2 linked regions of the Arabidopsis thaliana genome follow. The protein of the gene in region 1 interacts with the protein of each later gene in a pairwise test. Each region holds a gene or a part of one and is shown on either strand. Other genes may lie near its edges. The genes, in order: UBA1A and AT1G48450.

The links.
Region 2: the proteins of UBA1A (region 1) and AT1G48450 interact in a two-hybrid assay, tested with the Arabidopsis thaliana proteins (one large-scale study listed by BioGRID).

What each region holds. Positions count from the first base shown.
Region 1 is NC_003071.7:9,384,298-9,396,175, forward strand, and holds UBA1A (RNA-binding (RRM/RBD/RNP motifs) family protein), read right to left. Parts: upstream 6,210-11,878; 5' UTR 6,154-6,209; coding exon 5,110-6,153; 3' UTR 4,753-5,109; downstream 1-4,752. Other genes in the region: AT2G22070 (pentatricopeptide (PPR) repeat-containing protein), read left to right, coding at 1-1,665; AT2G22080 (uncharacterized protein), read left to right, coding at 2,668-2,796, 3,296-3,700; AT2G22088 (uncharacterized protein), read left to right, coding at 4,087-4,243, 4,505-4,752; AT2G22100 (RNA-binding (RRM/RBD/RNP motifs) family protein), read right to left, coding at 8,100-9,248; AT2G22120 (RING/FYVE/PHD zinc finger superfamily protein), read left to right, coding at 9,729-9,855, 10,151-10,236, 10,615-10,761, 10,867-10,975, 11,475-11,598. UniProt on the Arabidopsis thaliana protein: Acts as a component of a complex regulating the turnover of mRNAs in the nucleus. Binds with high affinity to RNA molecules that contain U-rich sequences in 3'-UTRs. May function in complex with UBP1 and contribute to the stabilization of mRNAs in the nucleus.
Region 2 is NC_003070.9:17,903,365-17,915,902, reverse strand, and holds AT1G48450 (alanine-tRNA ligase, putative (DUF760)), read left to right. Parts: upstream 1-5,429; 5' UTR 5,430-5,557; coding exon 5,558-5,689; intron 5,690-5,935; coding exon 5,936-6,231; intron 6,232-6,313; coding exon 6,314-7,157; 3' UTR 7,158-7,201; coding exon of another isoform or gene 7,202-7,245; 3' UTR 7,246-7,400; downstream 7,401-12,538. Other genes in the region: GLN1;5 (glutamine synthetase 1;5), read right to left, coding at 1-120, 201-398, 502-555, 722-925, 1,021-1,108, 1,329-1,435, 1,522-1,570, 1,673-1,776 and 2 more; AT1G48460 (tRNA-processing ribonuclease BN), read right to left, coding at 2,754-2,972, 3,089-3,429, 3,790-4,119, 4,207-4,249, 4,345-4,434; AT1G48440 (B-cell receptor-associated 31-like protein), read right to left, coding at 7,576-7,654, 7,742-7,797, 8,435-8,517, 8,657-8,828; AT1G48430 (Dihydroxyacetone kinase), read left to right, coding at 9,214-9,253, 9,389-9,462, 9,539-9,602, 9,683-9,795, 9,884-9,931, 10,041-10,112, 10,184-10,273, 10,471-10,644 and 10 more.

The sequences.
Region 1 (11,878 bases):
GCGCAGTTCGAGCAAATGGCTGAGCGAGATATAGTCACTTGGAATTCTATGATTTCTGGTTTCAATCAGAGAGGGTATGATCTCAGAGCTCTAGATATCTTTTCGAAGATGCTGAGGGATTCTCTGTTGTCGCCGGATAGATTCACTCTGGCGAGTGTGTTATCTGCTTGTGCCAATCTTGAGAAACTTTGTATTGGGAAGCAGATTCATTCGCACATTGTTACTACAGGGTTTGATATTTCCGGAATCGTGTTAAATGCATTGATCTCGATGTATTCGAGGTGTGGAGGGGTCGAGACTGCCCGGAGACTGATAGAACAAAGAGGAACCAAAGATCTCAAGATTGAAGGTTTTACAGCTTTACTTGATGGGTACATTAAGCTTGGAGATATGAATCAAGCTAAGAATATATTTGTTTCGTTGAAAGATCGTGATGTAGTCGCATGGACCGCCATGATTGTAGGATATGAGCAACACGGTTCGTATGGTGAAGCTATAAACCTTTTCAGATCAATGGTTGGAGGAGGGCAGAGACCAAACAGTTACACTCTTGCAGCAATGTTAAGTGTAGCTTCAAGTTTGGCATCATTGAGCCATGGCAAGCAAATCCATGGGAGTGCTGTAAAGTCAGGGGAAATTTATTCAGTTTCTGTCAGCAATGCATTGATAACAATGTATGCAAAGGCGGGTAACATTACATCGGCAAGCCGGGCATTTGATTTGATACGCTGTGAGAGGGATACAGTATCGTGGACATCCATGATTATCGCGTTGGCACAGCACGGTCACGCAGAAGAAGCACTTGAGCTTTTTGAGACAATGCTGATGGAAGGACTAAGACCTGATCACATAACATATGTTGGTGTTTTCTCTGCCTGTACTCATGCCGGTTTGGTCAACCAAGGTCGTCAATACTTCGATATGATGAAGGACGTTGATAAGATTATACCTACCCTTAGCCACTATGCTTGTATGGTGGACCTGTTTGGACGTGCTGGTTTATTGCAGGAAGCACAAGAGTTCATCGAAAAGATGCCTATTGAGCCTGATGTAGTGACATGGGGTTCACTGCTTTCTGCTTGCAGAGTTCACAAGAACATCGATCTTGGGAAAGTTGCAGCAGAGAGATTGCTTCTTCTCGAGCCAGAGAACAGCGGGGCATACTCAGCCTTGGCTAACTTATACTCAGCTTGTGGAAAATGGGAAGAAGCTGCTAAGATAAGAAAATCAATGAAAGATGGAAGAGTAAAGAAGGAACAAGGGTTTAGCTGGATTGAAGTGAAGCATAAAGTCCATGTCTTTGGAGTGGAAGACGGGACTCATCCAGAGAAGAACGAGATCTACATGACCATGAAGAAGATTTGGGACGAGATCAAGAAAATGGGTTATGTTCCCGACACAGCTTCTGTACTACACGACCTCGAAGAAGAGGTTAAAGAACAGATTCTAAGGCACCACAGCGAGAAACTAGCAATCGCATTTGGACTAATTAGCACTCCGGATAAAACCACATTGAGGATCATGAAGAATCTCAGAGTGTGCAATGATTGCCACACGGCTATAAAGTTCATTTCCAAGCTTGTGGGAAGGGAAATCATAGTGAGAGATACAACAAGATTTCACCATTTCAAAGATGGGTTTTGTTCTTGCCGAGATTATTGGTGAAAATAAGGAAGATCCAAAGAATTCTCATAAGGTCTAACTCAAGCCATTGTACAGAACAGATTCAGGTATGGCTTCGTTGGAGGGAAACCAACAAAAGTTTTCCTCTTTCATTGTTTAATTGGTATGTAAGTTCCATCATCATCATAGTTATTGAGCATTAGAATAAGATGACATGGCATGTGAGTCTTTAGTGCTAAAGGAGAAGGATATAATGAACGATTGAGATATTTTTGGGAAAAGCATAAAGAGGAAATGGAATTGGAACAATCAGAAAGAAGTATAGAAGAAGAAGGAGAAGAAGAAGAGAATATGGTTCTGTTTGTTACCAAAAGCTTTTCTTTTTAGTTTTTACTAACCATTGACTACATACATACATTAATACATAGATGAAGAAAGATCTTGGTCGGCATAAAATGTATGACTTAACAGAGAGAGCCCACACTTGTGTAGCTTACGTGGCAGGTCAATTAGAGATGATCACATAGAGTCACTGCCCGTACTGCCCTAAGGATTCGTAGTAACAACTACGGGCAGCTTCACACTCTTCTCTTTCATCTCTCATCTCTCTCTTCTCCTATATCTGAGATTCTGAACAACTCTTCTTTGATCACAAATCTCACACTTTTTCCATTAATGAACAGAGCTCATTTCTTCTAGTCCTTTTCTCTTTCTTTCTTCCTTTTTCCGCTAATTACAGAGCTTTTCTTTGGTACGTTCTTCTTCTTCTTGTATCTGTTTATTTTGTTTCTTAGATTATTGTTTTGTATGTTGTCAAATATTGAAGTAGAGGACAACCTCTAAACTTGGTTGTTTCCTCTGTTTTTCATGATTCTTTCTATGATTGCTCTGTTTTGTCTTTTTTTTTTCTCGTCAATAACTTCAAAACGAAGATTGCTCCATATTTGATAAATGGACAAGAAAGTTGTCTGAAAATTTTGCTTTAGTTATTATTATTGCAGATCTAACGGTTTTCATAACTGTTAAATACAGAGTGAAGAAAGAATGGAGTTGAAAGAACAAGGTATGAGTATGAGGTTGTCTCTGGTTCTCGGTAACGCTTTAGTGCTAAACTGCGCCGCTTTGGCTTTAACGGCTACTATGCTCTCTTCTTTGCTAGAGCTCTTCTCTCAGGCAAGCTTTTTCTATTTTCAACTTTTTTTTTTTTCCTTCTTAACAAACGTTTACAAGTATTCGCGGTCGCACAAAACAACAACTTTATAAAAATAGATTTTTTTCTACACAAAAGTTTCACACAAATTTTTTTGGCTACAAAACTAAATCTTGACCGACTTGAAGCGTTACTTCATCAGAATGGGTGGTTGGAAAAATATATAAAATTAAAAAGTTTTGGTTAAATATTGTGAGGGTATGTATATAATAATAGCTATTAGTTGAGGACGGTTGCTTTTAATGGGGAATATTAAGATAGATTTTTAAAATCTAAATTATAAATTGTAGGTCCAAAAAAAATCAAAAAGGTATATTCCATATATTATGCTTCCAAGTTTTTCAAATTTAATGTCTAGAAGAAGCCCATGTCCTAATTTAGTATGTCGGCCCAATTTGTAAAATCATGTTAACTTGGTAAAAGATTGTTTCTGGTAGTGATAAAATGAATATGAAGCTGCAGGTTACTGTCTTGAAGGGTGATGTTATAGAGAATGGATATGAGGTGGTTGATGCAGTGGAAGGCAATGGAAACAATGATGATAGTGGTGATGATGGAGGAGAAGACGAAGAAGGCAGTGCAGATGATGCAGAAGGAAAGGAGACCAAGAAAGGACCGGTAAGTGATCCTGATTTGAACGGTGAAGCTGGAGATAATGATGATGAACCTGAAGGGGATGATGGTAACGATGACGAGGATGATGATAACCATGAGAACGATGATGAAGATGAGGAGGAGGATGAAGACGAGAATGATGATGGTGGTGAAGAAGACGACGATGAGGATGCGGAGGTAGAGGAGGAGGAAGAGGAAGAAGATGAAGATGATGAGGAAGCGCTTCAGCCACCAAAGAAGAGGAAGAAGTGAACAAACCGCTTTGATCTCCTAACATTTTAGATTCAAAAATCAAAACTTGTTATCGGTTTTTACCTGAAGAGGAGAGAATCTTAAGGCATCATCAGCTTTAGCTTCAACTGTGTCTTTGTTGTTCCATAAACCAAGACTTTGTTTAGTGTAACATTTTCAGATCCAATGGCACCAGCTTTCTTTTCTTTAGCCCATCATTAATGATATATGCATATCTCTATGAGGTCATCAAATGCGATCAAATTTATATAACAACTTCAAGGGTCAACTTTAGCTGTCATAAATAGTTAAAAGAAAGTTAAATCCTATTGAGTCCTCATAGAGCAAACCTTTTTCCCCAGAGGTCACAATACAGATTGCACAGAGGTCTTTAACGAATAATCACAATGATATTACTTGAGCCACAGACTGTCTATCGTATGATATCGGACAAGAGTGACATCAAACAGAAAAAAAAAGAAAGGAAGAAAAAACAATACAAAAAAAAACTAAAACGTACTGACTTTGATAGAAATGTTAAAAAGAAATCCCCAGAAACTGCATGTTTATCATTCTCATGCTCAGCCCACACCATCTGCAAAAGTTGGAGTTCAAGAAAACAAAACAAAACATAACTCTATCAAAAGCTGAAGACAAAAAGAAAAACATATGGAAACAAGAGCAATGCTCTATCTTTCTGGTAAGATAACCCCGAAAAGTGAAAACAATAGAAATCAAAGGGACAAACATAAAAAAAATGTTAAAACTCAAACTTAAGTCTAAAACCATGAGTGCAACAGCATGAACAGATGCTATAGTTTACAGTCCGTTTAAAGACGTTAGCACCAAAACCAGATGAGTGGAGAGATGGTGGACGTTCAGTTTATAAAACCCAGTGCAACACTAAAACAAAAAAAGCCAAGAGACAAAAAGAATGTAACAATATTCGTCCCCACCATCACCAACCTATAGAGAAACTAACTTCGATAAAACAAATGGCACTTGAGAAAACTGTAAAACCAGGGACAGTAAAGAAAAGAAAACAAAACATAAACCAACAAAAGGAAAAATAATGGAGAAAACAAAAAAAACAAAAGTATGGTGGGTCACATTGCATCTACTTGAAATAGAGTCGAAGCAAGATTCATGAATAATGAATTACGGCAACCGATGACAATGCTAACCTACCTCTAGAACATAATTTAGGTATTTAATTCCTGTAGCAGTTCCTCCTAGGAATATACATATTTAGGCATTTAAGCCAACTATTTGACTAGAGAGGCATAATAATGTCAGATAAAATTCCGGTACTACCACAAAAGCCTTAATCCATTTATCTACACATGACGGAGCTACAATGAATTTATGCTTATCCAAAGACATTCAAACCACAATATTAGCACAAACATTGCTACAAAACACCAAAGGTTTCAGTGAACGTACCATGAATAGTTTGAGTAGCCATGAAAGGAGGAGCCACCAGCATCCGAATCTTTACCCGTCCCTCTTTTTCCACCAGCATCCGAATCAGGATAAGTACTAGGCAGACTCTGACCTCTAAAGTAAGAACCTAGAGCTGAAAGACCAGCAGCACCAACGCTTGGATCAACACCAATCCCACCCATTTGACTAGACTGTACCATATCAGAACCCAACCCGCCATGTGCTAGAGCACCCGCTAACATCGGATACATGTAACCTCCCCCAGCTGCTGCTGCTGCTGCTAAAGCTGGATTTCCCAACATCCCAGCTCCATAAAGCGGATGGTATTGGTTCCCTAACATAAACGGCGAAGCAGCCATTCCACCACCGTTAAACACATGTTGACCTTGTACCTGCTGTTGCTGAGGCTGTCCATGATTAGCCATCGAACCCATACTAATCTTCACCGGACCAGGTTGATCATGCCCCTTTCCTGAAGCCGCAGGACCCATAGAAGCAAGCTGGCAAGTGGCAGTTCTATTAAGAATCCTCTTCTTCGGTTCTTTAAGAGCTTCTTTAGCTCCTTTCCTAGTCTTGAACATAACAAATCCAAACCCTTTAGCCTTACCAGTAGCCTTATCTATAACAACGGTACACTCTTCAATCTCACCATAACCTTCAAAGACTCCAACAAGAGTCTCGCGAGTCGTCTCCCATGGAAGACCATAAACGAAGATTTTCCTGTGTGTAACATCACGATCTGCGGCTTCTACGACGGCGGAATAGATCGAAGATCCGATTCGAGAAGCGGAACAAACTAGATCGACAAGCTGGTCCTTGGAATAAGGTTGTAGAAGCTCACGGAGCTCTTCTGGGTCGAATTCGTTGTCTGATTCGGAATCGCTAGAATCAGAGCTGGAGCTTGAACTTGAATATGGCGTTGAGGATTCTGGTTGTTGTTGTTGTTTGTTAATCTTCTGTTTCTTATCGAAATTCGTGGATTTGGATTTCACGAGTTTGCGCTTCTTAGATTTGTCTAGGGTTTTCGCCATTGTAGTAGAGGATAAACGAGTCAAGAAGCTTTTAGGGATTTTGATTTTTGATTTTTGATTTCAGTTTCCTGTTTCCCCTCGGGTCAAGAGTTCGATTTACTTTATCCTCGAGATGTCGTTTTTCCGATTTTTTCAGTTTAATTTTTTTTTTATTCGAGTATTTTGCTTTGAATATATTTTCAAATATTTAGATTATTTTTGGATTGGTTTATTTTGAATATTTTTATTATTTTACATATTTTTAAATATTTGCTTTATATTTAAGATAAGGCCTTAGATCTTTGTAGAGGTTACATGGCAAGATGCTGGCTTTAAGTTATGATGGCTATACATCAACCGGAATACCATAAGCTCCCTAACTTTACGGGGTGTGAACTTTGTGGTACTTTTCTTTTAGAGCGCCGTCAGAAAAGATTCCTGGCTAGGCAGAGGTTTTAGCCATATTGGTGGTGTCGCTCTGCTACTTGTTTATTCATTCACCAGTTGAAACTTTTTTTTCTTTCTTTTTTATCTTTATGTGTTATGAGAAACTAAAAAAATAGTCACCGAGATCTTAGAGAGGGTTTTGTTTTTGTTCTTAAGATTTTCAGAGTTTCCCCATTGGAAAGAAAAACAAAGCCCTCATAAGATCATGATCACAAAACAACGAAATCAAATGACCAAAACCAAACCAAAGTTGATTTAGCTGAAGCATACTATAGATTAATACGAGTTGATTCATATGGATGGATGGATAGCTGCAGAGAAGACCAAAAACCGAGAAACAAGATTGATCCTCTTAAGAAATCGAAAAACTGAAAACAAGATTGATCCTCTTAAGAAAACAAGCATTCGCATCATCGGTCACTGTGAGGTCATTGTGAAAATCCAAAGAAAAAAAAAAAAAAAACAAGTATGCTTTGCTACCATAACCAGAGTTATATAGAATATGAATAACGAGCAGGTAAAAAAAAGGTAAATCCAGAACAAAGCTATGTAAGGTGAAAAACAAATTGGGTCCAAGTACCGATGACCAAAAACAATCTTGAACTTAGGCAAGAAAACTTGGCAACTGATATCAAAATGGACTCTTAAATACAAAAGAGAAAGGGGCGACACTACCATAAAAGAGGAATGTGATGAAAGAGATTGAGAAGCTTATAAAAACCTATGGGGAAGAAAACAATGCTTGAAGGAAAGAAAACTCAGGTTGTTTATTCCAGAGAAAATCAACTTGAAGCTTTTGAAAGAGTCCCAAAACTTTTTCCAGTACTCAAAAAGACAGATTTAAAACAAGAATGTAAAACCATTATGTCTGATCCTACAAACGGGTCTCAAGACAACTGCAGCTGGAAGATACAGACTTTTGGCAGTTATGACATATAGTGGACAAAACTATAAATGTCATAAGCTTCTTCTCCAGCTATAGCGAACAGATATTCAATGAAAATGCGGGAAAACATAAAACCAAAAACAAGGAAAAACAAAAGAGAAAAACATACGCCATGCCACAGAAGAAAACCAGACGTGAGTTTGATGGGTAAGGAGAAGACAGAAGACCATAATGGGGGACTCCAAAAGGGAAAACAAAGAGATAGCAAACTACTTTAAACCAATATTGATCCTAGTAACTAAATCTTCTAGACAAAATGACCACATTTCACTGGTTTATGAGAACAGAGCAGAACACCAATGACAGACTTCCAGAGAGCAACAGAAAATTCATCCTTTGAGCACACATCTCCCTCAAAATGGCTCATATAGGGGTAGATACCTCGTTAAAAGAGACTATAAATAATGAAACTAAAAAAGTAGGTTTGAAACATCAGGCATAGAAAATAAAGATCCGCAAAAAAAACTCCTGCAATTCCCAAAATATCAAGTTGGAGTCGAAGATACCGGACTAATCATTAGCCTAATCTATAACTTGAAATATCAGAGAACATGGTCATACCACTTGGGTTCTCTTATCTCAGATACCAAGCACGTTCACCATCAAAACCAGCACCAGCACCAGCACCCGCACCAACACCGTTAACATTACCATCACCAACATATTGTCCCACCATTCCCATATGATTCGGTGGCATCATAGGTCCTTGATTCATCATACCCGAGCCAAACATACGATAATTCTGTAAACCAGCAACCATCGGATTACCCATCATTGCACCATACATAGGATTAAAACCAGGAGGAGGCTGAGAATGTCCATAAAAGGGCATGTTCTGTCCAGCATACATTGACATATTCTGCTGCTGCTGATGTCCCTTATCAAGTCCATGACCCAAATCAATCCCAGGCAAAGCCATTTCACTCTGATTACCCGTATGACTCAAATCAATCTTCACAGACTCAACCGGTTGTTGTTGTTCTCGTGGCTTTCCAGAATTAAACGGCCTAGCTGGTAAACAACTAACAGTTCGATTATACATTCTCTTCTCCGGATTCTTCAACGCCGCTCTCGCTCCTTTACGCGTCTTAAACAACACAAAGCCAAAACCTTTAGCTCTTCCTGTATCTTTATCCATAACCACAGAACATTCCGTTATCTCCCCATAAACCTCAAAAGCCGCCTTGAGATTCTCATGCGTTGTATCCCATCCAAGACCACGCACGAATATGTTCCGTTGAGAACTATCTCTATCCGCTGATTCAAACACTGCTGAGATCAATTTAGAACCTTTCTCAGCAGTTTTGTAAATTAGGTTAATAAGCTCCTCTTTAGAGTAAGATTCAAGTAGATTCTTAATATCTTCCTTATCGAATTCGAAATCAGAATCAGACTCAATGGTAACAATCGGGACCGTAACAGGCTTTGAATCGACGATCTCTTCGGATTCATCTGATGATCTCTTATGTTTCTTCTTACTCTCCTTCGATTTCTTAGGAGATGGAGATGGAGATGGAGATTTCTCCTCTTCTTCTACTTCTTCGTATTTCTTCGATTTCTTCTTTGATTTCTCTGGTTTCTCTTCCTCTTTGGATTTCGATTTATGTTTTTTTGAGATTTTCTTCTCTCTTACAGCGAGTTCTTCAGCTTCGCGACGCTTCCTCTCCTTCCTCTCCTTCTTCTCTTTCTTCTCCTTCTTACGTTCTTCTCCTTCTTTCGCCATTGTTGACGGCAGTGGCTACCAAAAAAAACACTCTGAATAGAGTAACTCCTCTAAAATAGGGTGCACCAGAGAACACTAGATTATTTAAGTATATTTATAATAAAGTAAAGAGTCTAACAAAAACGTCTGGGTGGTGTAGTCGGTTATCACGCTAGTCTCACACACTAGAGGTCCCCGGTTCGAACCCGGGCTCAGACATGCTTTTTTTTTTGCAACACATAATTTTTTTTTTTAACATGAATTAGTAGAGGGGCAAAAACGTCAAAATACAGAAAAGGAAAAAGATACAACATTTCTGGTTTTTGTGTGCCGGCGAAGAACCGGTGAGTGACGGGTCAATTCACATACTTGTTTAACGGCAACAAAAACCTACCGATAAATGCTAAACTAACGAAATCGGATCATAGCTCGACGAAGTCTCGATCTTTTCTATTCTCTCTTTCTGGGTATTCGTGGGTTTTACCCAGATTTCGAAATTGAATGGCGGACGAACTGGAATTGTCGCCGTTGGTTCCACCGTCGCCGATGGTCGAGCCTTCCGAGATCGATCTCGAAGCTGGAGGACCTGGTGAACAAATTCAGTGCCGAATCTGCCTTGAAACTGATGGTAATGTCTTCTAAAACCATTTAGATTCGCTTCTTCCTTAAATAGATTCTTTGCTTCTTGCTAGTGATTGTTGAACATTTTCATGTGCTCATAGATATGTCTAACTTCAGTTCAAGAATTCGGATTATGAAATTCGAATTGGCTAGATCGTTAATGGTTCTGATGTGATTTAGATTAGTGTTAGTGATAAACTCTTTTTTTATAAAAGACTAGTGATTTAAAACCGTGATATAGTGAGAGAGCTTTTGTTCTAACTTACTTGGTTGATTCAAGCTCATTTATTGATCATGGTCAGGTAGGGATTTCATTGCCCCATGCAAATGCAAAGGAACATCAAAGTATGTACATCGTGATTGCTTGGATCATTGGAGAGCTATAAAGGTTCCATTTTTTCATACGCTTTAGCTCAACTTGGGTCCATGCTTGGCTGTCGTTAGTGTTACTTGAAACTTGAAAGCTATGAATGCTCGCTTTCACTCTTTGACTATTTGTTGTTATCCCTTCCATTTTCAATCAAATATGACAACCTGTGTAAGTGTTATTGAATAGGAACTTCCCTTTTGTTGTAAATTTCTATTTTTGTTGAATACGAAAACCATTCGAAGGCTAAACAACTAAAGAATGATGGTTTTGGATGTGAAATTTTCAGAGTTGATATATGTTTCATGAGTGATGATTAGAGTGGTGGTGTTTTTGGTAGTATCATGGTAAAATAATGAATAGCAGATGTTGACGCCTGGTAAGCTCGTTTTATTGCAGGAAGGTTTCGCGTTTGCGCACTGCACAACTTGCAAGGCTCCATATTATCTGAGAGTTCACAGTGCTGGAGATAGGAAATGGCGGACATTGAAGTTTCGCTTCTTTGTTACTCGAGACATTTTATCCATATTTCTTGCTGTTCAGCTTGTAAGTATTCATTTTTCATGTGTGCTTCTGTTTCTTACAGTAGTTTTTCTTTCATTTGGTAATATATCTAACTCATGCCTTTTAAATGACTTCATCTGCTCACAGGTGATTGCTGCATTGGCCTACATGGTCTATTTCATAGATAGTTACCAGCAATCATGGCTTCGTCATATATGGGGTTTTGACAGTGAGGTCACGTTTTATTACATGTGTGGTATGATCCCAAACTTTAATATCTAAATAAATTCCCCTCTAGATAAGATAATATTTTTTAGTAAGACCTCTGCCAAGTGTAGTTGGTAAGACGGGAATGCTAAGTTTATTATTGTACATATGTCCTACAGTCCTTGTTAAAGCTTTGCTTCAATCAGAATCTTAGATTCCAATGTAAGGAGTTTGCTATTAGATGATTTCATTGCCTCTACGTAGTAGGAAGTGAAGCAAGGGTTTTGTGATCAGTTAGATTTAGATCAAAAGTTAAGGGGTTGGCTACGTTACGAATATACAGTTAGAGTTCTGGACCTCGTAGAATTTTTAACTAAATAAGAATTTTCAAAGCAAGTGTATTAGAATTTAGTAATTAAAATTTTGTGTTTTACACAGCTCTTCATGAAAATTTGTTACTAAAGAAATTTATACCAAGTGATTCTAAAATTTTACATGTGTGTATGAGCTACTGGTGTTTATTTACATGAGGATTTTGTTGTGTGCAGGAGCTTTATTATTCTTTGCTCTGCTGGGTCTATCTGGATGCGTCATAACCTGCTATGATCGAAGGGTTCGCAATGACTTAGCACAGCCTTGCCGTGAATTGTGTCTCTGTTGTTGCCAGCCTGGGTACAATTTCCATACTTCTTCCTTTGTTTTTGTTTTCAGTCATTGGCGTTTTCCTGATTATAAGTGTTCCTCATTTGGTCACATGATAGACTTTCGTAAAAAATAGTTTGCTGAATATGTGGGCTTTTGCTTTACCTGGTTCCTGGGTGATTTATGTTTGAATAAGCGACATCAGAGACTAGAAATGGTGAGACAAGCCAGAGGAATTCTGTTACACAATAGTTAGTGAAAAATTAGAATACTAACTAGATCCTCTTCTTTTGTCTGCTAAACTCTATCT
Region 2 (12,538 bases), on another chromosome or scaffold:
CATGGAGGTAACTAGGTAAGGATCCATATTAGACGAAGGCCTTCGATCTTCAAAATACCCTTTACCTTCTTTCTCCGTATCTCTTCCTACTCTCACCGATGCTCCACGATCCGCCACTCCCTACACTCGATAGATAAAAGTTACATAGAGATAGATCATAAACCAAAACGTAACTATATGATTTGGTTTCATATATATACCCAAGAGAAAGTGTTGATGTCTGCAGTTTCATGCTTCCCAGTGAGACGCCTCTCGTTGCCTTCACCATAAGCAGCAATGTGTTGTTTGTGTTTCACTTCAAGCTTCTTTATTGCTTCCTTAATCAAATCCAGTCCTCCATCTTTCCTCATCGATTTTGTACTGAAGTTCGTATGAGCGGCTGCTCCATTCCAATCACCCTAATTAATTAACCACCATAGATAACAACCTCACTACAAAAGAACATTCAAGAAAACTCTCAAGCTATAGCTACAAACAAAACAGTCTTGATCATCACGAAACCTGGATTGGTTTTGGATCGAATGAGACAATCACACCGCATATCTCAGTAATCCTCTGCCAAAAAAAAAAAACACAATGATTCATATTAGAGTGCAAGAAACCAAAGTTGAGCGCAAAGAAATTGTTAGGAATGCCACATCGATAATAAGATAGGACATAGCAGAAATATGGGCCCATGAAACTTGATAAAAACAAAGATAAAATTGTAATGGTTTCTTACCTCAAGAATGTAACGAGCAACCCATAATTGATCACCTGCACCAATACCAACAGTAGGACTGATTTGAAACTCCCATTGTCCAGGCATGACTTCACCATTGGCACCACCAATACTCAAACCGGAGTATAGACAAGCTTTATAGTGAGCATCGACAATGTCACGACCAAAAGCTTTGTCTGCACCTACTGCACAATAGTACGGTCCCTGTTTCATCAAAACACACAAAAAGCAATATTTCCGAGATAAGAAACTTGTTCTTGGTAATAAGAGTTAGTGTATGAATTTTATCATAAGTGTACCTGAGGACCAGGAAAGCCACCAAGAGGCCAACCTAGTGGCCACTTCACATCTTTTTTAAGTAATGTGTATTCTTGCTCTATCCCAAACCTATTATATAACACATCAAAGTATCAAAATGAGTCCTAGACTGAATCAACTAAACTGAAATATATTCCAAAACAGTGCTTATGTTAAACAACTTTTAATATATGTTACAATATATTTTGAATTGGTCAAACTATGGTATTTTTGTTCTACACCATAACAAACTGAAAAAATTCGATTATAGTTCATTTGAATTTTTCTATAGGCTATGTATTTAGCTTACCAAGGCTCTTCAGCCTTCACATTGGGATGATCGAAGATTTTTACGGCCTTGTGCCTATTGTTGGTCGGAATTGGATCTCCGGCCGGTCTGTAAGCATCACACATCACCTGATATATTCAAGAACATTGATTTTAAAGACCCACTAATCAATAAAACAGATGAATCTTTTGCTCAAAATTTTATGTGGGCTAACCAGAATGTTGTTCCCCTTCCTGAATGGGTCCTTAAATATTGCCTGAGGACTTTTTTTTTCCAATTCATTCCAAAAAAATGAAATTATTTTAAAGATACTTTTGATATCACTTTACTTATAAATGTTATGAATAGGGGATGAAAAAGATTACTAAAGAATGACTTCACTATCATCTCCGGCAGCTTGATCGGTGCTAGATCCATCGTAGTTCCATTTTGGAAGCTTTGTTGGATTACTTACTGGTCCTGGTAATGTCTATTAACAAACAGAATTTAAATTTTTGTTTGGTTATTATAGAAACTAGAGAGACATAATGTGATGGTATTATTACCCTGGCTTTGCTTCTAATATCCATTCCAGAGCCACCGATCCTGTTCTCATGAAAAAACAGAACAAAACAATGTTGTTTAAAGAGACATGCAAGATCACAAGTGTGTAACATCAAGAATCTATATGACATGCATCGAGTTATAGAGAGACTTTTCTATAGATTTAAGTGACAAAAAGATGATTAGGGATCGAACCATATGTATTCAGCGATGATTTTCTTGGTGTCTGATAGATCAAGGTTTAGGAGATCTGAGAGAGGAGACGTCATTTTTGTTCCGAAAGAGAAAGAAGATGATTCTGAGATTGGTTCTATTGATCTCAGTCACTCTCACTATTTTTATAGAAGCGGCTATTTCTCTTGAGATCCTATTTTATTGTTTTCTCAACAATAATCGTTGATTAGTATAATGGCATCTTTTATTAAGTATCCATTAATAACCATCACATATTGATAAAAAGCTTTGGGACCAATTTATTTGAGAATCAATCACTCAACGGTGTAACAGATTCATCAATGAAACAATACAGACACGTCACACTGTTAAAGACACCTATCGGAGGCACAAATCTTCCACGTGGATAAGCATTCAGCTTCTCTATTGTTGCATACAAAGGACCAAAACACAAGCTGAGACCAGACCCATCTATTGTTGTGTTACTTATGTTGTGATTTCACACATTGAAACTTTAGAGAAGGGGTCACAAGAGTCTCCAATAAGAAATCTCATCAAATACTGAAGTTAAGTAGGATCGTTCTATAACATTTCCAGCCAATTCTCATTTCACATGATCAACCAATTCTTAAAGTGACTTAATACAATTCATTACTACTGAAATGAACACAGAAACAAAACAAAACCGATGGGATTTGGCTACATCTAACAATCACTAAACACTGAGATCTAGTAGTTTTCACCTACAGGTCTAGAAGGAAAGAGGCGCATAAGAAAAGTGATAAACGACCAGAGACACATAACAGCTAGAAACTGCAAAGTCACAACCAAACCAACTAGTGCAACTCCTCGCTCTGTTATTTCAGCAGTCGTTGCCGCATCTTTCATCATAAACATCAGCCTCTGAACAAAAGTCGCTGCTCTTGTCACCTGATACAGCCTATACACCTGCCATGACATACACAACCATAGTTACTCAAAACAAGACTACAACATCATGGACCACAAGAAGATGGGCAGACAAACTTAAGACCAAAATGGTCAAAATCAGAATATAAGTTTACCTCAAAGACTATTGGAACAATGGGCCAACAGGATGAGCCACGTCTTTCAAGCCGAGCCTCGAAAACTCTTTGAACTGCACAGCCAACCAAGAAAGGAAGCACTGCAATCAAAGCATCTATTCCAAGAGCTGGCCAAGTCATGTAAACAGCAAATACGGGAACTACAACTTTTAAACCCATCGTGAGGAATGCAGACGTAAGGTATCCCCTCAGTCCAGTGATCAGACCCCATCTCTTGGAGCTGAAGTCTAAGTACGGCCTCTGCACTCGGTCAGTCACAGACAGGAATATCGCAAGACCAGCATAAAACACCGTCTCAAAGCAAAAAGAAGTAACAATTTCTGCATCAAGAAATTATAATAAGAGAGAGCATCAAAATGAGTATCATACAACAAGAGATAGATCATTTGCTAAGTCTCTTAGCTTTAGGAGAGTTATGAGATCTCGTTTAGGTACTTTCTAAGGCTCAGGTCATGTGTTCTTGATAATAGTGAAAAAAAGGATTCTAATATTGCACATCAGAAAACATGTACTAAGCCTATCAAAACCTCAAAGCCAAAGCCTACTACACTAAAACATAATGAGTTAGCAGATGTAACACCACTAAGATAGATAGCTTCTACTCCATTTGTTCCTTCCTAGGATTCATATAAGTCATAATCCGATGTTAAACATTAAAGCAGTAGTAAAACCTGACCTACCAGCAACAGTGTCGTTTTTGAAGGTAGCTTCAATGATACCACTTAGAAAGAACTGAGGAAGAATCAACGAAGAAATCAAAACAACAGGAGCCAAAACCCACAAGAAAGAACCTTTCTCTTCTTGAAACGGAGCTGAAACCAGTTTACTTTCTTCAACCAGCTGATGAGTCAGACCATTGAAAGAAACAGAACCTGATTTCCCACGGAACAGCTCAGCTCGAGCATAGTTACTCTTATCCGATTGCTTCTTCTCAGGTCTTGAGTCAGATTGAGAAGAAGAACACGCTACACGAACTCGGCTCAATTGCGGTTTGTTCCAAAGGAGGGTTTCTTAAACAAGAATGAAAATGAGAAAAAGGATCAGTCTTTATGCTACAATCTGGGTGAAGTAGGAGGATTTAAGATAGAGATACTTACGTCTGGAATCAAGTTTGTGACGCGTCGCAAATGTGGAAGAAGCCTATAGAATCAGGAGATATTGACAAATTTTAGGATAAGGTTTTGGAAGAATCGAAATGGAAAAAAATGAAATTTTGATGGTTAAATTTCACTTACAGGAGGAGAAGGAGGAAGAGAGAGTAAACGTGGAGATGAAAATCGAAGTCTTGGAGGAAGAAACCCTAAGCAAATTGCTTTCGATTCCATTTTTGTTAGGGTTTTTTGTGTTCTCTCAGCAGCTTAAACCCAGGCTTTGAAATAAATCTCTTCACTGTCTTTATTCTAAAAGAAAATTCTTTTCTGACATTTTATTTTTTGGAATTGTTTTCTTTGAAATGGGTTAAAAATTAAACTGTCCTTCTGATTGCATTTATTTTCTATGGTTTTACAATGGGCCTTTTATGTATTTTAGCTTGGCCCAGTTGAATTTTTTTTTTTGCACAAACCCAATTTTTTTTTATGTATTTCCTTCTGTTCGGTTATTTCGGTTTTTTTTGCACATACCCAGTTAAAAACCGAATTACCCGAAAACCGAACCTACCCGAACCGAACCTAATATCGGATCAATTCAGCATACTTTTCCAAAAAATTTAACAAAAAAAACGAAAACCGATATAACCGAACCGAACCGAAACGTTAAACCGAACTTTGATTGAGAAAGAAGTTGAGGCAAAATAATAGTGAAGATCGGATAAAAATGGGTGAAGTTGTAGAAAGAGGAGGCTCAGCTGTAACCTTTGGATACTTTAGCATCATTCTACTACCCACCACACTTTCACGGTGGTAGTAGCCGTAAGTCCGGCCTTTTTTTCATCATCGCCACCGTTTTTCTTATTTTATTAGCAAAAACGAAAAACCTTTTAAAAAAATTGTAGATTCACAGAAGACAAAATAACTTTTTTTAAACGAAATCACTGAGAAACGAAAAATCAGATAGAAACGACGACGACATTCTTACACACCGATTGGGGTAAAACTTTTTAGACGCGAAAGGCGAGAGAAACCCTAATTGTCTTGATGGGTCGTATTCTGGGCTATATATGTTTCCCATAATGGTCTAAAATCCCGCTTAATGGGCTTTGAGAAATATAAATATGAGCCCAACTTCTATTGTGTCAAACATGAAAAATTACGAAATTAATTTCCCGTAATTATCAAAAGAAAAAACGTGAGTGGGTATTATTGGAAGAGATAAGAGTCATAAACCATCCACACTAACCGGTTTAATCACTATTTATCGACATCATCTTCTCCTACATTCTAGGTTTCTTCTTCATTTCTCCTTTCTCTGGCCAAAGTTCCGACTTTTTGCTTCTCCCAGAGGCTAATCATGGACGCTGTGGCGGCGAATTTGTTTCAATCTCCTTCCTTACTGCGTCAAACTTCCGAAAGGTTGATATTTTCGACGCCCAACTGTCCTGGCTTCATGCGAATTAGCTCCGGACCTCAATTTCGTCTCAGAGTAGGTCTTATTTCTACTGAGTTTGATTTACTAAACCCTAGACAACATTGACATTTATAGCTTTCCCGAATCATCTTTGTTTGTGCTTAATCTACCCCATAATCGTATATCTTCCAATGAAATTCGAGAATTCAGATTCTGTGTAAAAAAATGGAACTTTTAAGGTTTCTTCGTGTAAATTTCTCATAAGTAAAAAAATTGGCTTGACTATATTGTAATTTGAATCTGTTGTCTCTCTGTATGCAGCAAAACTCTTCTCTTAAATTCTCGAGACCATTTCAAAGCGGAACAACTTGTGTTAAATCTCGGAGAAGCTTTGTGGTTAAAGCTTCAGCTTCTGGTGATGCTTCAACAGAATCAATCGCGCCGCTTCAGTTGAAGTCTCCTGTGGGACAGTTTCTGTCACAGATATTAGTGAGCCATCCTCATCTTGTTCCAGCAGCTGTTGAACAGCAGCTTGAACAGCTCCAAATTGATCGAGACGCTGAAGAACAGAGTAAAGATGCATCCTCTGTCCTTGGAACAGACATTGTTCTCTACAGGTTTGTCATATGCTGATATTAATTACCACTCGGCTATTATATAGGTTTGGATATTGAATTAGATTGTTTCTTGGGTCTTTAGGAGAATTGCTGAAGTTAAGGAGAAAGAGAGAAGAAGGGCCTTGGAAGAGATTTTGTATGCGTTAGTGGTTCAGAAGTTCATGGATGCTAATGTTACACTTGTACCATCCATAACCTCTTCATCTGCGGATCCATCTGGTCGAGTTGATACTTGGCCAACTCTAGATGGGGAACTTGAGAGACTTCACTCGCCTGAAGTTTATGAGATGATTCAGAATCATCTTTCCATCATTCTTAAAAACCGCACTGATGATCTGACAGCAGTTGCGCAGATAAGCAAACTTGGAGTTGGACAGGTATATGCTGCTTCGGTGATGTATGGGTATTTCCTGAAGAGGATCGATCAAAGGTTTCAGCTTGAGAAGACGATGAGGATTCTCCCAGGTGGGTCAGATGAAGGTGAGACTAGCATTGAGCAAGCAGGCCGAGATGTAGAGAGAAACTTCTATGAAGAAGCAGAAGAGACTTATCAGGCTGTTTCCTCAAACCAAGACGTTGGTTCGTTTGTAGGAGGGATCAATGCCAGTGGCGGTTTTAGCAGTGATATGAAGCAATCCCGGTTAAAGACATACGTTATGTCCTTTGATGGAGAAACCCTTCAAAGGTACGCTACAATAAGATCTAGAGAATCGGTTGGGATAATTGAGAAGCATACAGAAGCATTGTTTGGGAGGCCAGAGATTGTGATAACGCCACAAGGCACTATTGATTCCTCGAAGGACGAGCATATCAAGATCAGCTTCAAGGGATTGAAGAGGCTTGTGTTGGAGGCTGTGACGTTTGGTTCTTTCCTCTGGGACGTGGAGAGCCATGTAGACTCAAGGTATCACTTCGTACTGAACTGAAATGGCCTCTGTGGTTTATGAGGATGTGCCACATTCTTTGAGAGGGTTTGGGGATTTGTTGTTTGTAATATATGCGACTGTGAACTGACCAACTAATATCAATACCCATTTTATGGTAATACTACATTCGCGATCAGTTTGTGTTATTCTTCTCGTTTACATCTTGAAGTGCATCGTTGTTGTTTAACAAAATTAGTGTCTGTAAATGATAATTCTGGACATGAAAAATTAAGGTTGTTCTTGAAATATGATCAAAGAAATGGACACTGATGATATACACATATAGTGTGCAAAGGCTGTTCACGATACTCTTAGTTTCATTCAGGTCCAATAATATTAGAACGTAAAAATGCAATAAAAAAAAGCTTTACTTATATAATGGTTTTGAGGAACCAACTCCCTATACTCGTGAAGATTATTACTCTTCCTTGAATCTCTTCTCCGTTGCCTCCAAGCGCTCCAGGTCTTTGTTGTATTTGCAGATGCGGTAGATGCACCTGTCAATGAATAAAAGAGATATCAATAAAACTACGCGAGACCCTGTCTGTGAGTGACTGATAATAGCTGATGATGTTACAACTTACCAGTAGAGTAGAATTCCTGCAGCGCATAGAACCACGTTCCTCTGAGCCTTGTAGATCTGTGGTACAATGCAAACGCACAACTCGTTAGCAAGCAAGCTGAGACATTTCAGGGAAAGAGAAGGAACTAAGGGGTGAATTAAATATCCAAGTGTTTGATTTTCAGTTTTTCACTATGTATAATTGATCCTGGCGACTCGCAACTGCATACCCAAAAAGGTTTGAATACAGTGCATGACCAGAAAACTGAGGGATGAACTAAACATCCAAGAGTGGTGATGAAGCTTCACCAAGAATCAATTGCCAACAATTCACAAGAGCAAAGTATAAACTGAACTATGAATGACAATCGTGCCGATGGTATAAAGAAAGTCACATGTTGCTATTTGACAGTAGCTAGAACTACGATTAAAAGATATATGAGTACATCAATGAAGGGTAAGACCTAAAAAAATGCATTGACACTAACAAGTTAGACAGTGTTTTGTAGCTCTAATCTATGCAACTTCCTCAGACAAAGAAAGCCAATTCTCAGAAGTTTTACTAACAAATATTGATCTTTAGACTAAAGATGGGAGAAAATGACAAGGATGAAACTCACAAATCTAACAATTTACTATTCAAAAAAAGATTCATACACATAGAATTCAGCTATAGAAGAATCAAAGACAAAGGTGATCAAGGAATGGTACTTACAGATTTCTCGTAGCGATCACGTTCTGTAGCAGTGCAAACCTCAGATGAACAAGATAGTCTATGCTCAGCCTTCCAGTAAATATCTGAATGAAATCAAAACCAAATAAGCAAAAGCACACAAAGGTACCAAATCCACAGAATCACTCGCGGCTCAAAACCCTAACTATACATATTCCGACTACGAAATAGATAGATAGAGCGAGAGAGAGGAGAGGAGGTTACCGAGGAGCTGAAATCCGGCGAAGGCGACGATGGAAGCAGCAGGTTGGAGAATCAATGAGACAAGCTGAACTACACGTTTCTTAAGAAGCATAGGGTAAGGGAGAGTCAACACGAGGGTGATTACTACTTCGACGGCCACCACATACGATAGAATCAGCCATTGCAACGCCATTGTTGTTCGTCTTTTTCTGGATCTCTCTCTCTCTCTATCTCTATTCCGTGTGAAGTAGACGAAGAATAATAATAGACGAACCGTGTGCGTGGAACACGTGCCTATGCTTAACCATTTTTTCTTTATCTTACTAATTAAGTTATTTTCTTACTTAATGGGCTCTCACCTCCGGCCCAATATCTCCATATACCGGTTTTATTGTGCTGATTATCGGTTTATTTCGATTTAACGGTTAGCTTTCAAGAACAAATACAGAAACTAGTCACTCTCTTCTTCTTCTCTGCCATTGTTGACTCTTGAAGTCTCAATTTTTTCTCTTCTTTATTTCTCCGTATGAACTTCTCCGATTTTATGGTTTTTATATCCTTGAAAGCTAGCTAGCACCATGGTTCCTCCGGCTAAAAAATTCATCAACAACCCCAACGGTTCGTGATCCCTCGTCTCCGTTTGTGTTTCGAATCGCTAGCTCTCTGTTCTAGATAGTTTATCTCATATATGGTAGTTGCATGCTCTTGAAATATCAATTGATAGAGAGAATGAACATAAGCTGTTTATTGCAGATGTTGTAACCGAGTTCATCGAAGGTCTCGTCGAAACTTATCCTGGACTTCAGTATTTGGATGGTCTTCCCGAGGTTAAAAAAATTCACTTTTTTCGATTCCTTCCATGGATGTGTGCAAAATCTCAGCTTATTTATGATGAATTCACAGATCAAAGTTGTACTAAGAGCTGATGTCTCAGCTGCAAATTATGACAAGGTTGCCGTTATATCAGGTTGGAGTTTACTTGTCCAATTCTTTTTTATTACAAATTGAGTTTCGTTTTCGTGTTATGCAATGCCATTTTTGAAACAGGAGGAGGAAGTGGGCATGAACCAGCACAAGCTGGGTATGTTGGAGAAGGAATGCTCACAGCTGCTATTTGTGGAGATGTTTTTGCTTCGCCAACTGTTGATTCCATCCTAGCTGTAAGTAACTCTTCCCACATAACGTTTCTTCTTCTTATTCCTTCTCTTGTGTCTTTCGAGAAAATGATGAATCTTTGTCCAATTCCAGAGGATTCGTGCTGTAACTGGTCCAAAAGGATGCCTCTTGGTTGTCACGGTAAATAAAACATGGCTAGACTTATTCTTATGTATATATCAATAGCTTTGAAAGACTATCCTTCAGTGTCTTTGGTTAAATTAGTTTCTCTTTTACATATTGTTAATAGAACTATACTGGTGACCGCTTGAACTTTGGCCTGGCAGCTGAGCAAGCAAAAACTGAGGGTTTCGATATAGAGGTAACTGTATATTTATTGTTTAGAATTTGGTAAGAACACTGGTGGATTGGATGACATGATCCCTTTTGTAGACTGTAATTGTTGGAGATGATTGTGCTCTACCCCCGCCGCGTGGCGTAGCTGGGCGCAGAGGTTTAGCGGGAACAGTTCTTGTCCATAAGGTTCTCAGTTTTCTTCTATGTTGTTTTTCCTCTATCTGCACTATAAGATAGCATTTCTTAGTAGTGTTTGCAGTCACTTATCCTCATCTTTTTTTATTATTGCATTTTCTTATATTTGTCTGTGATGTCTAAGTGGCAGGTTCTTTTGTGCTCTTTTGTATTTTTATATCCTTTGTTATTGTTTTTGTTAAGGGTAGGTTGCTGGAGCAGCAGCTGCTGCTGGACTTTCTCTAGCAGAAGTTGCAGCAGAAGCAAAACATGCATCTGAAATGGTTGGAACCATGGGTGTTGCACTATCTGTCTGTGCGCTTCCAGGACAGGTTACATCAGATCGTTTGGGTCCAGAGAAAATGGAACTTGGGCTTGGAGTTGTATGTTGTTTCTCTTCTTATTTTCTTTTATGACATAGGAAAGTCAGAGCATTACTCTTGCTAATATTTTGACCTTTTTTTGCTCGCTGTTTTTCGACTTTTCTCTCAGCATGGGGAGCCTGGTGCTGCTGTAGTCGACATTCAACCTGTGGAAGTTGTAGTGTCCCATGTTCTTCAACAGATACTGAGTCCAGTATGTACACTATTCCTCTCTTCTCTGCTTCTTCTTTCCATAACCATCTTGATCTTCCCGTTGTTGACTTACTATCTCCAAAGTGATAGTGTTAATAAAATACATGTATCGTGTTTCATTCGTTGGCCTATGCATTCTTTCTAACTCCAGGAGACAAATTATGTTCCAATTACACGTGGTAACAGTGTGGTTCTGATGATTAATGGGTAAGGACCATAAGGTTGTGTATTCCATCTTCATATTTATGTGATCCTTGTACTCATTTTCACCTTTACCATAATGTTATATCTATGTTACCCACTTATGGTATAACGAGTTTGCTTAATCAATGAATAATTTTATTTGTTCGTGTTGTTCTGTAGCTTAGGTGGTACACCTCTAATGGAACTTATGATTGCTGCTGGAAAAGCAGTCCCAAAATTACAGTTGGAATATGGGCTTGCCGTTGATAGGGTGTATACTGGATCATTTATGACGTCTCTTGATATGGCAGGTGACTGTTTCTGTTGTGTCTATGTAGAGTCACTGATTTTGTGCTGTGCTCTCATACTCCTTCCCTTCTCAGGGTTCTCGATATCGATCATGAAGGCCGACCAGTCAATTTTAGAGCGTTTGGATGCTCCGACCAATGCTCCTAGTTGGCCAGTTGGCACAGATGGTCTGTGATATTTCCTTTGGAACTTGTATAAGATTGTAAATTCTTGTATCATCTATTTTATTTTATTTCGAGGTTGGATTTTTCCTTTTTCTGATCAAGCCAGATCTCTCTACAGGAAGCCGCCCACCAGCAAAGATCCCCGTTCCACTTCCCTTCCGATCAACCAAAAACGAAGAGGTGAGCGGTTGGTTTGATAAAAATATAATTTAGCCAGCTTAGAAGAGTTTCAATGAGATTTGATAATCTGTAAGTTTCATGAGAACTTGTTAGGTGATCATCATACTAACTTTTTTTTGTGTTTATTTAGTCTCGATACCGACCTCAGGAGCTTAGTCAACAGGGGCGAATTCTTGAGGCAGCTATTGAAGCAGCAGCAACTGTAGTCATCAATCTGAAGGATAGTTTGAACGAATGGGATGGAAAAGTAGGTGATGGGGATTGTGGATCAACAGTAAGTCCTGTTTTTCAAATGTTCGTTTTGCATTTCTAAAATATCTTATGCACTCATCACCATTCACAGATGTGCAGAGGTGCAACAGCTATTCTGGAGGACATGAAGAAGTAGTGAGTCACTTCACTCTGAACACCCATTTTACCTCTTCTTCTCCTCTGTTTAGCTTGATTGTTTACTTACAATGTATACCCTCTTTTTCTCGCTTTTATAGTTATCCGCTCAACGATGCTGCGGAAACAGTGAGTGAGATTGGTTCATCGATTAGAAGAGTCATGGGGGGAACAAGTGGAATAATGTAAATCGACGCAGTTAATTTTAACAATTTTCTTTCCATAAAATTGATCATGCATTTGGCATTTACTGATGTAAGACATGACACTGTCTCATATGAAACCAGTTACAATCTCCTCTGTAAGGCAGCATATGCGGAGTTAAAAGCTAACAGTCAATCAGAAACCACTTCCAAACACTGTAAGATATACGTTGCTTGCATTGTCGTTAATTATTCCAAAAGGCACATCTTGGCCTATGAATCTGATTTCTTCTTGTAATCAGGGTCTGAAGCACTCAAGTCATCAATCTCTGCTGT